Drosophila melanogaster: one gene and its partner. The protein of the gene in region 1 interacts with the protein of each later gene in a pairwise test. Each region holds a gene or a part of one and is shown in the gene's direction. Other genes may lie near its edges.

The links.
Region 2: the proteins of CG14383 (region 1) and Nopp140 interact in a two-hybrid assay, tested with the Drosophila melanogaster proteins (one large-scale study listed by BioGRID).

Annotation. Positions count from the first base shown.
Region 1 is NT_033777.3:12,986,826-12,990,461, reverse strand, and holds CG14383 (uncharacterized protein), read left to right. Parts: upstream 1-1,950; 5' UTR 1,951-1,963; coding exon 1,964-2,962; 3' UTR 2,963-2,977; coding exon of another isoform or gene 2,978-3,029; 3' UTR 3,030-3,086; downstream 3,087-3,636. Other genes in the region: CG31342 (uncharacterized protein), read right to left, coding at 1-121, 185-326, 438-1,856, 2,978-3,029, 3,106-3,636.
Region 2 is NT_037436.4:21,830,645-21,837,277, forward strand, and holds Nopp140 (Nopp140), read left to right. Parts: upstream 1-2,129; 5' UTR 2,130-2,234; coding exon 2,235-2,333; intron 2,334-2,535; coding exon 2,536-4,185; intron 4,186-4,426; coding exon 4,427-4,585; intron 4,586-4,822; coding exon 4,823-5,236; 3' UTR 5,237-5,338; coding exon of another isoform or gene 5,339-5,491; 3' UTR 5,492-6,041; downstream 6,042-6,633. Other genes in the region: CG7148 (uncharacterized protein), read right to left, coding at 1-88, 146-842, 902-1,452.

The DNA of each region.
Region 1 (3,636 bases):
GCACCACATCCACGATTGTCGAAGTGTTTCCATCCCGAATCAGACCCAGGCACTGACCCTCGCGGTCACGTCGGATAGCATAGGCGCGACCAAATGGGATTCGTCGCAGCAAGACCTCAACCTGTGTGAAAAGAGAACCAGAGATATTATAAAATCAGGCAACTAAGGATCTTTCCGAACTTACAAATAGCGTATTGGTGTTCCTTATTATCTTGTTGGCCTCAGCTGCACTGCTAATGCTCACACCTGCTATGGACAGTAGCTGATCACCGATGTGTAGGGCATTGTAGAGCACAGGGTGTTCCTTCTGCTTCCAGCCTGCAATCCTGTAAACACAACTAGTTAGTGAATCATACCAATTGCTTATACAATTTCCAAATATAATTCGGTCTACATACAATCACCGTGGAGATGATACGAAGTTCTCTCTAACTTACCAAACGCCACCGAAGGCTTCTACCCAAGCGATGGAACCGACGCAGTCCTTGCGCCTTAGATTCAGTCGCACTCCTCCAGGATGCATAATCTCGCGACGCAGCTGCATCACTTGCTGCTCCCGCAAAGTCAATCGCTTGTTGGGCGACTGCTGGGCGGGATTGGTGCTTGACGGAGGTGTTCCCTGTGGCGGTGGCTGCATACGAAAGGCTCCGTTTCGGGATGGCGTAAACTCGTTATTGTTAGCGTTACGCTGCGTTGCGGGCTGAGGGACCCGCTGAAGTGGAGCCTGGGCATCGGATGTGGACGAACTGCGTCGCCGCTGCTCCTGGCTGTCACCGGTTACAATCGAGGTGTTATTCCTTTGCGTTGGCGTAACTTGGGTACTATTGGAGCTGGAAGGCGTGGATTGTTCAATGTTGTTATTCGCGGCGCTGGTTGACTTGTGCGATGTCTTCGTTTTCAGTGGCGTGTTCAACAGCTTTAGGTAGTGGAAATCCCTTCTACTTGGCCGCGAACTAATGACCAGTTCGGTTAGTCCTCGGGTCAACTGCGGCGTCGCCCTGCCGGCTGCATTGGGGGTCACTGGTTGCGCCGTTGCCGGCGAAGCCAACCGACGACGTGGCAAAGCTGGACTGCCATTAGTCACTGGCTGTGTGGTATTCGTGTTTGCCACTCTTGTGGGACTGCTTCTGCTGGTGATCGGAATGCTGGAGGAAAGGAAGACCTTCTCGTAGTGGATATTACCACTGATTATGGAGTCACTGCCCTGTTCTGTATTCACGCTAATATTCGTAATGCCCGAGGTGTTGGCACTGAGTATTATCTTTTTACTTAATCTGGGCGTCTGCGGCTTGGCAGGATTAACAGAGGAAGAGGCTGCGGAAGAACTGGGTGCACTTCCTCCGGCCGCTGGATAGCAGGTGCCGTAGACAGCCACCTTGGTGGTTGCGTCTCCGTCACCCAACACCTTTACTTTCGTGGTGCCCGACACCTGTGAACTGGAGCCATTGGACGAGCTTTGCTTAACGGGCGTTGTATACGGATTGCTGCTACTGGACTGTTTGCCAAGGACTTGAATGGTACTGGTACTGCTACTGGCGTTGGACGGAATGATTTGTACGTTGCTTTTATACTCGTGATGGGTCTGGATTGGCTGCTGCTTGGCATTAGTCTGGGGCTTGCTCTTAACCTCAGGGAATCGAAACACCTCAGCGGTGGTGGTGTTCTTGGGCGGCAGTTCGGGTGGATGTTCCTGGCCACTGTTGGCGGTATTCGACACTTGGATAATTGTGATGTTGTCCTGAGAGTCCGCACTGTTCGTAGGAGCGGCGCTCGAAGATTGGGATTGGAGGGGCTTGCGTTGCGGTCGCTTTGATTTGTCTGCCGCTCCAGCTGACATGGATCGCGATGTTTGCGGTCTAAAAGAAAACAGGAATACATTTTAATATTTGATAAAGAATGCTGACGTCATAGTAGGCTGATTTCTAAATCACAAGCCAGTTTGATATAAACAAATCTTGGAGACATGGCCAAACCGTTTTCTTTGACAGAGGAGAAGCTAGATGACCTATTTGTGCAGGAGGTTGTCAGTGTGGTGAAACTGGTGGACATGCTGCCCGATAAAGATAACATTGTGCCCACATGCACCCGATGGCTCAACATCTTCCAGCAGTCAACGCCGAAGGAACGCTTTTCCAGAAACTATATGCTACTGCTCCTTCATAAACAACTCAATGATCACAAATCGTTGGGTTATCCATTTACGTGGCCGGGCAGTTTCCAGTTGGATTTGCGCACTCTTCACCAAATGAGCCTAAAACCGAATCCCGCAATCGGCAAAGATGTTGTATGCTGCAAATTTGATGAAAGTTTGAATGAGGAGGAACAGTCTTCTTTTAGTTCATGCGAGAATATAGTGGAGGCCAATCGTAGGTTGGTCAAAGAAAACGCTGCACTAACCAAGGAGTCGATGGAGCTTCAATGTCTGATCGATAAGTTGCAGGTGAAACGCGCGGCGGACAAACATGCCATTAAAAGGATAAATGATCAGATTTACATGCTGGACAAGGAGAACCGATATCTGAAGCGAAATTTCGCCTGCTCCTCAATCAGCGCCCTAAAAAGACTATGCAATGGACAGGATCCGGCGATGTTTTTTGACACCATGTTCAGTGTTTTCTGCGAAGACGTATCAGACCACCAGCAGGTGCAGCACTTTAACGAACTCTTCAAAACCTTGCTACATGCCCACATGGATCACTACCGGCGACAGCAGCGTGCTCCTCTGATGGAGGAGGCAAGCCAAAGTTTTGACAATCTGAAAGCCCAGGTGAGCAAGAGATACAAAAATGTGTTGGGCATGAAATTGGATGCCGAGAGCCACGAGCTCACCCTCAGTGCCATGAGATATCTAGCCGTCCTGCGAAAATTGTTCAAGGCCACCTTTAAGGGCAAAGCGAGCACCAAGAAGGCAGTACTCAAGTTCCTGCAGCACAACTACGAGCTTATGAACGAGATGTTGTAGGATGGATTCACTCACCTGGGAATCAGTCGTTCGCATTGCAGAATGTGCTCCAAATTTAGGACTTGATCTACAATTTTAGGTTATATTTTGTAATGTTAGAGTAAAAATTAAATATATTTAGGTTATATAAAAAATATTCATACCGGCAGAAACGCGCTGTCCAGTGACCACCACGACGTCAACGCGAGCTCCATTCTCGGTAAGCATACATGCCTTGCGCAGCAAGGGCGACAGGTATTCGTCATCCGAGAGATTCAAATCGGCATCACTAGTGGTCGGTTGCTCCGCTGGAGGTTCCTCAGCTACAGCAACATCTTCCTGACCAGAGGCTGACTCTACCGACTCACTGATCTGCTCGCTGTAGGTGCTTATGGGATCGGAGAGCATGTTGAGGAGGTGCTGCGTTAAAGTGTTGGACATGGCAGCGGGAGCAGGGGCAGGAGGTGCAGGTGTGGTGGGCACTGGACTTGTTGGTGGCTCAGGAGGTGGTGCTGGCGGAGCCTGATGGCTGGGTGCCACCACACGCTCGACGCCCGGTACCAGAGCCGCCGGAACTGGAGGAGGTGGTGGCAGTGGCGATGTGGGATCCCGCGTGGGCAGCAACGGTGCGCGCACTTCAGGTAGCTTCGTGTAGAGGTTTTCGCGCGGCGACAGAATCTTCATTTCGCGCAGCT
Region 2 (6,633 bases), on another chromosome or scaffold:
CCACAAAGCTCAGACCGCGTTCCGAGTCGACTGGAAAGTCGGCGGTGAAGACAATATATCCTCTATATTCCAAAGAGCTCTTTAGGTTCTGCAATGGATTGATTGATTAGATAAAAGAAGAGCGACATAAACAAGAAATAGTAACCGCTCTATCCACAAAGTCCTCAAAGCCACTTAGGTCGTAGTAGAGCTTCAGAGGTGGCGAACGTCCAACTCCCGTCTTCTGCTTGAACGGCTCCCGCCGCTTAAGAATACTCAAGGCCCGTGGCAAAAATGTTGGCGTCAGATTTCGGCAGTAGGACACGTCGAGGTGTTCCAATCGTGGACAGAGTTCCACGAATTCTAAGAGGATTTCGTCGCTTAGGTCATTCCAGTTGCGCACGCAGAGCAGCTGCAGCTCTGTCATACAGGTATAGCGCTTTAGGTAGTCTGCCGAATGAGTCCAGCTGCAAATGGCCAGGCGCTTCAGCCTGCGATGCGTCCAGATGGGCAGCTTCTCATCCCAGCCCGGTTCAAGGGGCATATAGTACCCGTCCACGGCAAAGCCGACGATGTCCTTGGCCTTGAAAGCCATGATCTCGTAGAACTCGCTGACCTCGCGGATCTTGTGGTCATAGCTATCCGGACTGACCAGCGGGGGGATATGCCACTCGTTGTCCAGCAGCACCACCAGTTTCCTGAGGGAGGGCAGCTCCAGAACGGCGGGTAGAATGGGTTTCAAGGTGGCCAGATTGAGCTTAAGATCAGTGAGGTTCTTAAAGCTCTGCAGGCAGTTTCCCAGCTGAAGTTTACTGATCATATCGTACGTCCTAATGTCCAGGACCCGAAGATCGTGCAGCGTGCTGTGGCGCAAACGGAAAATGAGTTGCGAAATATTATGCAGCAGAAGGTTACTACTTACCGGCACACCTCGTCCAGGTACTTCTGCTGCAGCTCAAACGCCTTGTGCTGGTCCTCGTAGAGGTGCAGCTCCTGCAGGTGCTGGAAGTTGGATAGGTACCGCCCGTCGATGGGTGTGGTAAGGCGCAACTTTTTCAAGCCCGGCAGCAGGCGGGCCAGCTTGCGGATGCTTCGGTTCGTGGGATAGCAATCGACGCCGTCTGGGTCGTAGTAGAAGCTGGTCACCATGGGCAGCTCTGCAATGTGCATTTCGTCCAGATCTTTTAGAATGGAGCACAGACAGCTGCTGCCGCCCATTTCTCTGATGTACGGACGCATTTGGGTTAGGAAGTAGACCAGGTCTTCATGATTGGGCAACAGTACCCGCCACTTCTCCAGATCCAGTTGCTCGTAGGCATGGCTGGTGCGCCACTTGCTCAGACATATGTACTGCACTCGCCGGCAAGTCCTCGCGAAGGACACTTCCGACGGCAGGTCCTGCAAGCGATCGAAAATCTCGGCCAGACAGTCGTCGTCCAATTGCAGAATTAGGGATCTCGGCTCGGAAGCCATGGCCCGGGATGCGATCCTCGCGACACAATCTAGGTACAGAGTCTGTTAAAATAGCCGGAGCGAGAGATAGTTTCTGTATTCTGGATCGTTTCAAGCAGGTCAACTCAATTGAATAACAAACAAAAATACATTTTGGTGCTCCCCCAATGTGACCAGTCGTGGATGGTCTGAATACCTCACGCAAAAAACGTAGGTTCCTTACATTATGTTATATATACGCTAATTGTTTGAATACAATTTAATAATACAGTTTAGTAATTTATATATATATACATAGACATATAGACATATATATATATAACAAATTTAACAATACAAATTTATTGTTATATATGTCTATGTATATATATATATATATATATATATATATATATATACAAAACTAAAATTACAAATTTATTGTTATATATGTCTACATATATACATATACATATATATATATACATATATATATATACATAGACATATATAACAATAAATTTGTAATTTTAGTTTTGTCTAACGTAGCCTAGCGTTATTTCTAATTTCAAGATCTTTGTCGGTGTGGCATAAATAAATGATTACAATTGATTGGCATTTTCGAGTTATTCTTGGGAAGAATACCCGCTGCATTGACAGTGTTGAGAAACGGGGTGCAGGGGTGGCCACACCGTTGGCAGCCGCGTAGTGCTGCCATACCACTGATAAGTAGAAAACACGTGTGAGTGCGCATTCTTTTTTGTGGGACAAGCGGCTAGTAATTATTTGCGGACGGAAAATATTGACGAATAGTTGAATTAATCATGACAGACCTGCTAAAGATAGCCGATGCAATCGTCCTGGAGTACTTGCAGTCCAAGGACAAGAACCTAGCCAAGGTTTTCCAGCAGAAGACGAAGGCGGTAAGTTTCAGTGCAGAGCGGCAAGTGCAATATGTGCGGTTTGGATGCACCCGAAACATGTGGTATCTGCGTCCTCCTGATCTAGAATCCGAGGGCCTTGCTGTCCGCCGATGGCTCATCGAGCTGTCCACCTGCCACTTGCTGCAAGTGCCACGTGCTTCGTCCAGATAACCAAGAATTTCTGCCTTTTTCTAACTTGCAGGCCAGTGTCGCCAAAAGCAGCCCAAAGTTGAGTGAAATCCTTCAGTTCTACCAGACCAAAAGCCCCAAAAAGATCCCAGCAATCAAGGCGACAGCCGGAGACTCCAGCGAAGACAGCGACTCAGACTCTGAGTCTGATGCGGCGCCTAAGAAGCCAGCGACAGCTCCTGCACTAACAAACGGCAAGGCTGTCAAAAAGGCAGCTTCTTCAACCAGCGAGGACAGCGATTCAGAGGAGGAGAAGAAGCCAGCAGCAAAGGCCACGCCGGCCAAGGCTGTCGGCAAGAAGGCAAAATCCTCCAGCGAGGACAGTTCCTCGGAGGAAGAAGCACCCAAAAAAGCTGCTCCAGTGAAGGCACCTCCGGCCAAGGCGGCTCCCGCGAAGAAGGTTGAGTCCAGCAGCGAGGATAGCAGTTCCGAGGAAGAACCGGCAAAGCCCGCCGTCAAGGCCACAACGACTAAGGTTGCTCCCGCCAAGAAGGCCGACTCCAGCAGCGAAGAAAGCAGCTCCGATGAGGAGACTAAGCCAGCTGCCAAGCCTGTAGCCAAGGCTGCACCGGCAAAGAAAGCAGCATCCTCCAGCGAGGAAAGCGACTCCGATGACGAGCCAGCCGCCAAGAAGCCTGCCGTCCAGCCTGCCGCAAAGCCAGCTCCTAAGGCAGCCGCTTCTAGTTCCGAAGACAGCAGCTCAGAGGAGGAGGTCAAACCCGCTGCTAAATCTGCTGCCAAGTTGGCTCCTGCTAAGAAGGGGGCTTCCTCTAGTGATGATAGTTCCTCTGAAGACGAGGCACCCAAAAAGGCAGCAACTCTCGCAAAGCCCATTTCTAAGGCTGCTCCCACCAAAAAGGCCGACAGTTCCACTGAGGATAGTTCTTCGGAAGACGATGCTCCTAAGAAGGTAGCTCCAGCAAAGGCTACGCCAGCTAAGGCAATTCCTGCCAAGAAGGCAGCTTCCAGCGATGACAGCTCCTCGGAGGAAGAGGCGCCCAAGAAGGCAGCTCCAGCAAATGCCACGCCAGCTAGGGCACCTCCTGCCAAGAAGGCAGCTTCCAGCGATGACAGCTCCTCGGAAGAAGAGGCGCCCAAGAAGGCAGCTCCAGCAAAGGCCACGCCAGCTAAGGCAACTCCTGCCAAGAAGGCAGCTTCCAGCGATGACAGCTCCTCGGAAGAAGAGGCGCCCAAGAAGGCTGCCGCCCCAGCAAAGGCGACACCGGCCAAAAAGGCCAAGTCTTCAAGCGAAGACAGCGACTCCGATGAGGAGGAAGCTCCCAAGAAACCAGCCGCGAAGGCCGTTGCAAAGGCTGCTTCTTCGGAAGATAGCGATAGCTCAGAAGACGAAAAGCCAGCAAAGGCTGCTCCCAAGGCTCTGGCCAAGTCTGCAAAGGCTGCCTCCTCAGACAGTGACGATTCCAGCGATGAAGAAACGCCGGCAGTGAAGCCAGCTGTCAAGAAGACTGCTGCTCCTGCGAAGAAGGCTGACAGCAGCAGCGACGAGAGTGACTCTGGTGAAGAGTCCGGCGAGGTCAAGCCCAACTCAGCTACCAATGGCAATGAGAAGACCGCTCAGAAGCGCAAGTTTAGTGGTGGCGACCAGGACGAGGCCACTCCCAACAAGAAGTACAACAACTTCGTCAAATCGGGAGAGCAACAGGTAAGGCGGTGTAACTTATCTATGTACATCTAAAATTATCCGCAGTCCGCTTATGCATGTTTTCCTTCAGACATCAATTTTGAATGTCGGATAAAAATAATTCCTGAGTTAAAGGATTCCCTTAAAAGTAGCTTTTTAAAGCCCTATTGAAATTTGAGCCGAACTTTAAACAGCACATAATTTTGGCTCCTTGTCCGATTCCTGTGCAGACAGTTTTACATAACTTCATTGCCATTCGCAGAAGAATGACTTCACCTCCACACCTAACAACACCTTCAGCCGAAACCATAATATGAACAATAGCGGAGGGGGAAGTGGGCGACGGTCGCCCTTCCGAAGGGTACGCACCGAGGACGTGGTGGTGGACTCCCGAGTCCAGGACATGTCCTTCGAGGCGAAGGTAAGTGCCGCAATGGATTTGAGTCGCGTGGGTGTGTGTGTTTGCGACGGCTGTTGAGGATTAGGCGAGGGGGATCTTTCTACGAGGCTGAAAGGGGCAGACACACAAATTAGCAAGTTGCTCCTCGAAGAATCTCAAACCACTTGTGGCACTTTCCCAATACATTTTGAACTTATATATCAAATCAAATCGTTGCTAATTTGTGGTTTGCCCCTTTCGGCGTTTCTACCATTTCAGGAAAACGACTTTAAGAAGCACAACAACGGACGGGGCGGCCGAGGAGGCTCAGGCTTCTCCGGACGACCGGATCGCAGCACTTGGGAGACCAACAAGTTCAACGGCGAGGGCGGCGGTGATGGAGGCGGCTTCAAGAAGATTGGCGATCGCAAGAGCTTTGGAGGCTTTGATAACAACCAGCGCGGAGGACGTGGTGGTGGCGGTCGTGGAGGCGGCGGAGGCTTCGGTGGTCGTGGCGGTGGCGGCCGTGGCGGCGGTGGTGGCTTCGGAGGACGTGGTGGCGGCGGACGCGGAGGCGGCGGCTTTGGAGGACGCGGGGGCCGCGGTGGAGGCGGACGTGGAGGCGGATTCGGCAACAAATCCTTCGACTCGTCGGCGCCAAAGCAAAACAAGAAGATCACCTTCGACAATTAGAAATAGTTAGTTAGCGCCACCCACCCGCAAGCACACACACACACACTAGATGCAGTTATATTATCGGATTAACCCAATTTTATTATTTGCTCACCACGATAGAAAAACGCTGCCGGATCCTGGGGCGAGCGAGCCAACAAAGATCTGAAGCACACGCGCGGCAAGTCCTTCAAACACGAGAAGACCAAGAAGAAGCGCGGCAGCTACCGAGGTGGCCAAATTGACGTAGGAGTCAATTCAATAAAATTTGACTAGATTTATTACACCTATAAAATAATCCTTATTCTAACGGATATAACTAACTAGTTTAAGTAAAATATTTGCCTTACGCAATAGTTCCGCCAACATGTAAATTCTTTCCAAACTCTTGATTGACTTCGGGAAGTCCGTACTTCCGTTTTAATGTGAATTATTCGAATGCAAATTGGCGGTCGACAAACCCGTGACCAAGCAAATGGTTATTATGACTTTAGCGGATTAAACCCTTTTTTTTTCCTGATCGGACGGAATGAAACCCGAATGCGTTTCGTGGATTTTTTATAAGCCTTTAAGAGTTAAACCCCTATACATTTCTATTGTATATTATATATATTTATAAGGTTCATAAAGAGTAAGCCAAGGTATTTTTCAGACGCTTGGGTTAAATGAAGGGTTGAATTTTCCGCTAACTTGTGGTGATAGCCGGTTTATGAATGCTTATGACAACTTCAATATGTAAAAGATTAATTTGTTTTGTCACATTGGACAATGTATTTAATTGAACTAAGAAAACACGGAAAGAAATACATGTATTTTTTAATAACAGAATTGTTTGTAGTTTGATTACAAATTTGAATCAAATGAAACTAAACCTTTGCATGTTCTCTTCAGACCATCAAGTTTTGAAGTTTAAATTCTACGGGTTTCTAATCTCTAAGAACTCATCTTATTTCGGGTAAAGGAACTGCCCCAATCGATGCGGATAGCATTTTGGGTTAAACGAAATGTTGAAAACGGAACCCAAATAATTCTTTTTAATTCTTTGTTATATTTATTAATATGAATTTGATGCTTACGTTACATGTAACTAGGTTTCACTTTATCTCTTCATGATCTTTCACATTTAGTATTCAGAATGTATTGTCGTTTGATTTCACATACATAGGTGTGTACATTAAGTATTTTATAATTGAAAACGGTTCAACCAATTCAAGCAATTTCGATAACGAATAAAACATAAGGCGGGCCATTTAATTATAAATCATATATAATTAAATAATCACATTGCGTTTAAATCGTAAAATAATGATATTACATAGTATTCATTTAAAATATCCATGTCATGGTGTGTTTGTAGTTCGAAGGTATCAGCATATCAATTTACAAACTTTCGAGGCATTCTCATGGGTTGTTTTGAG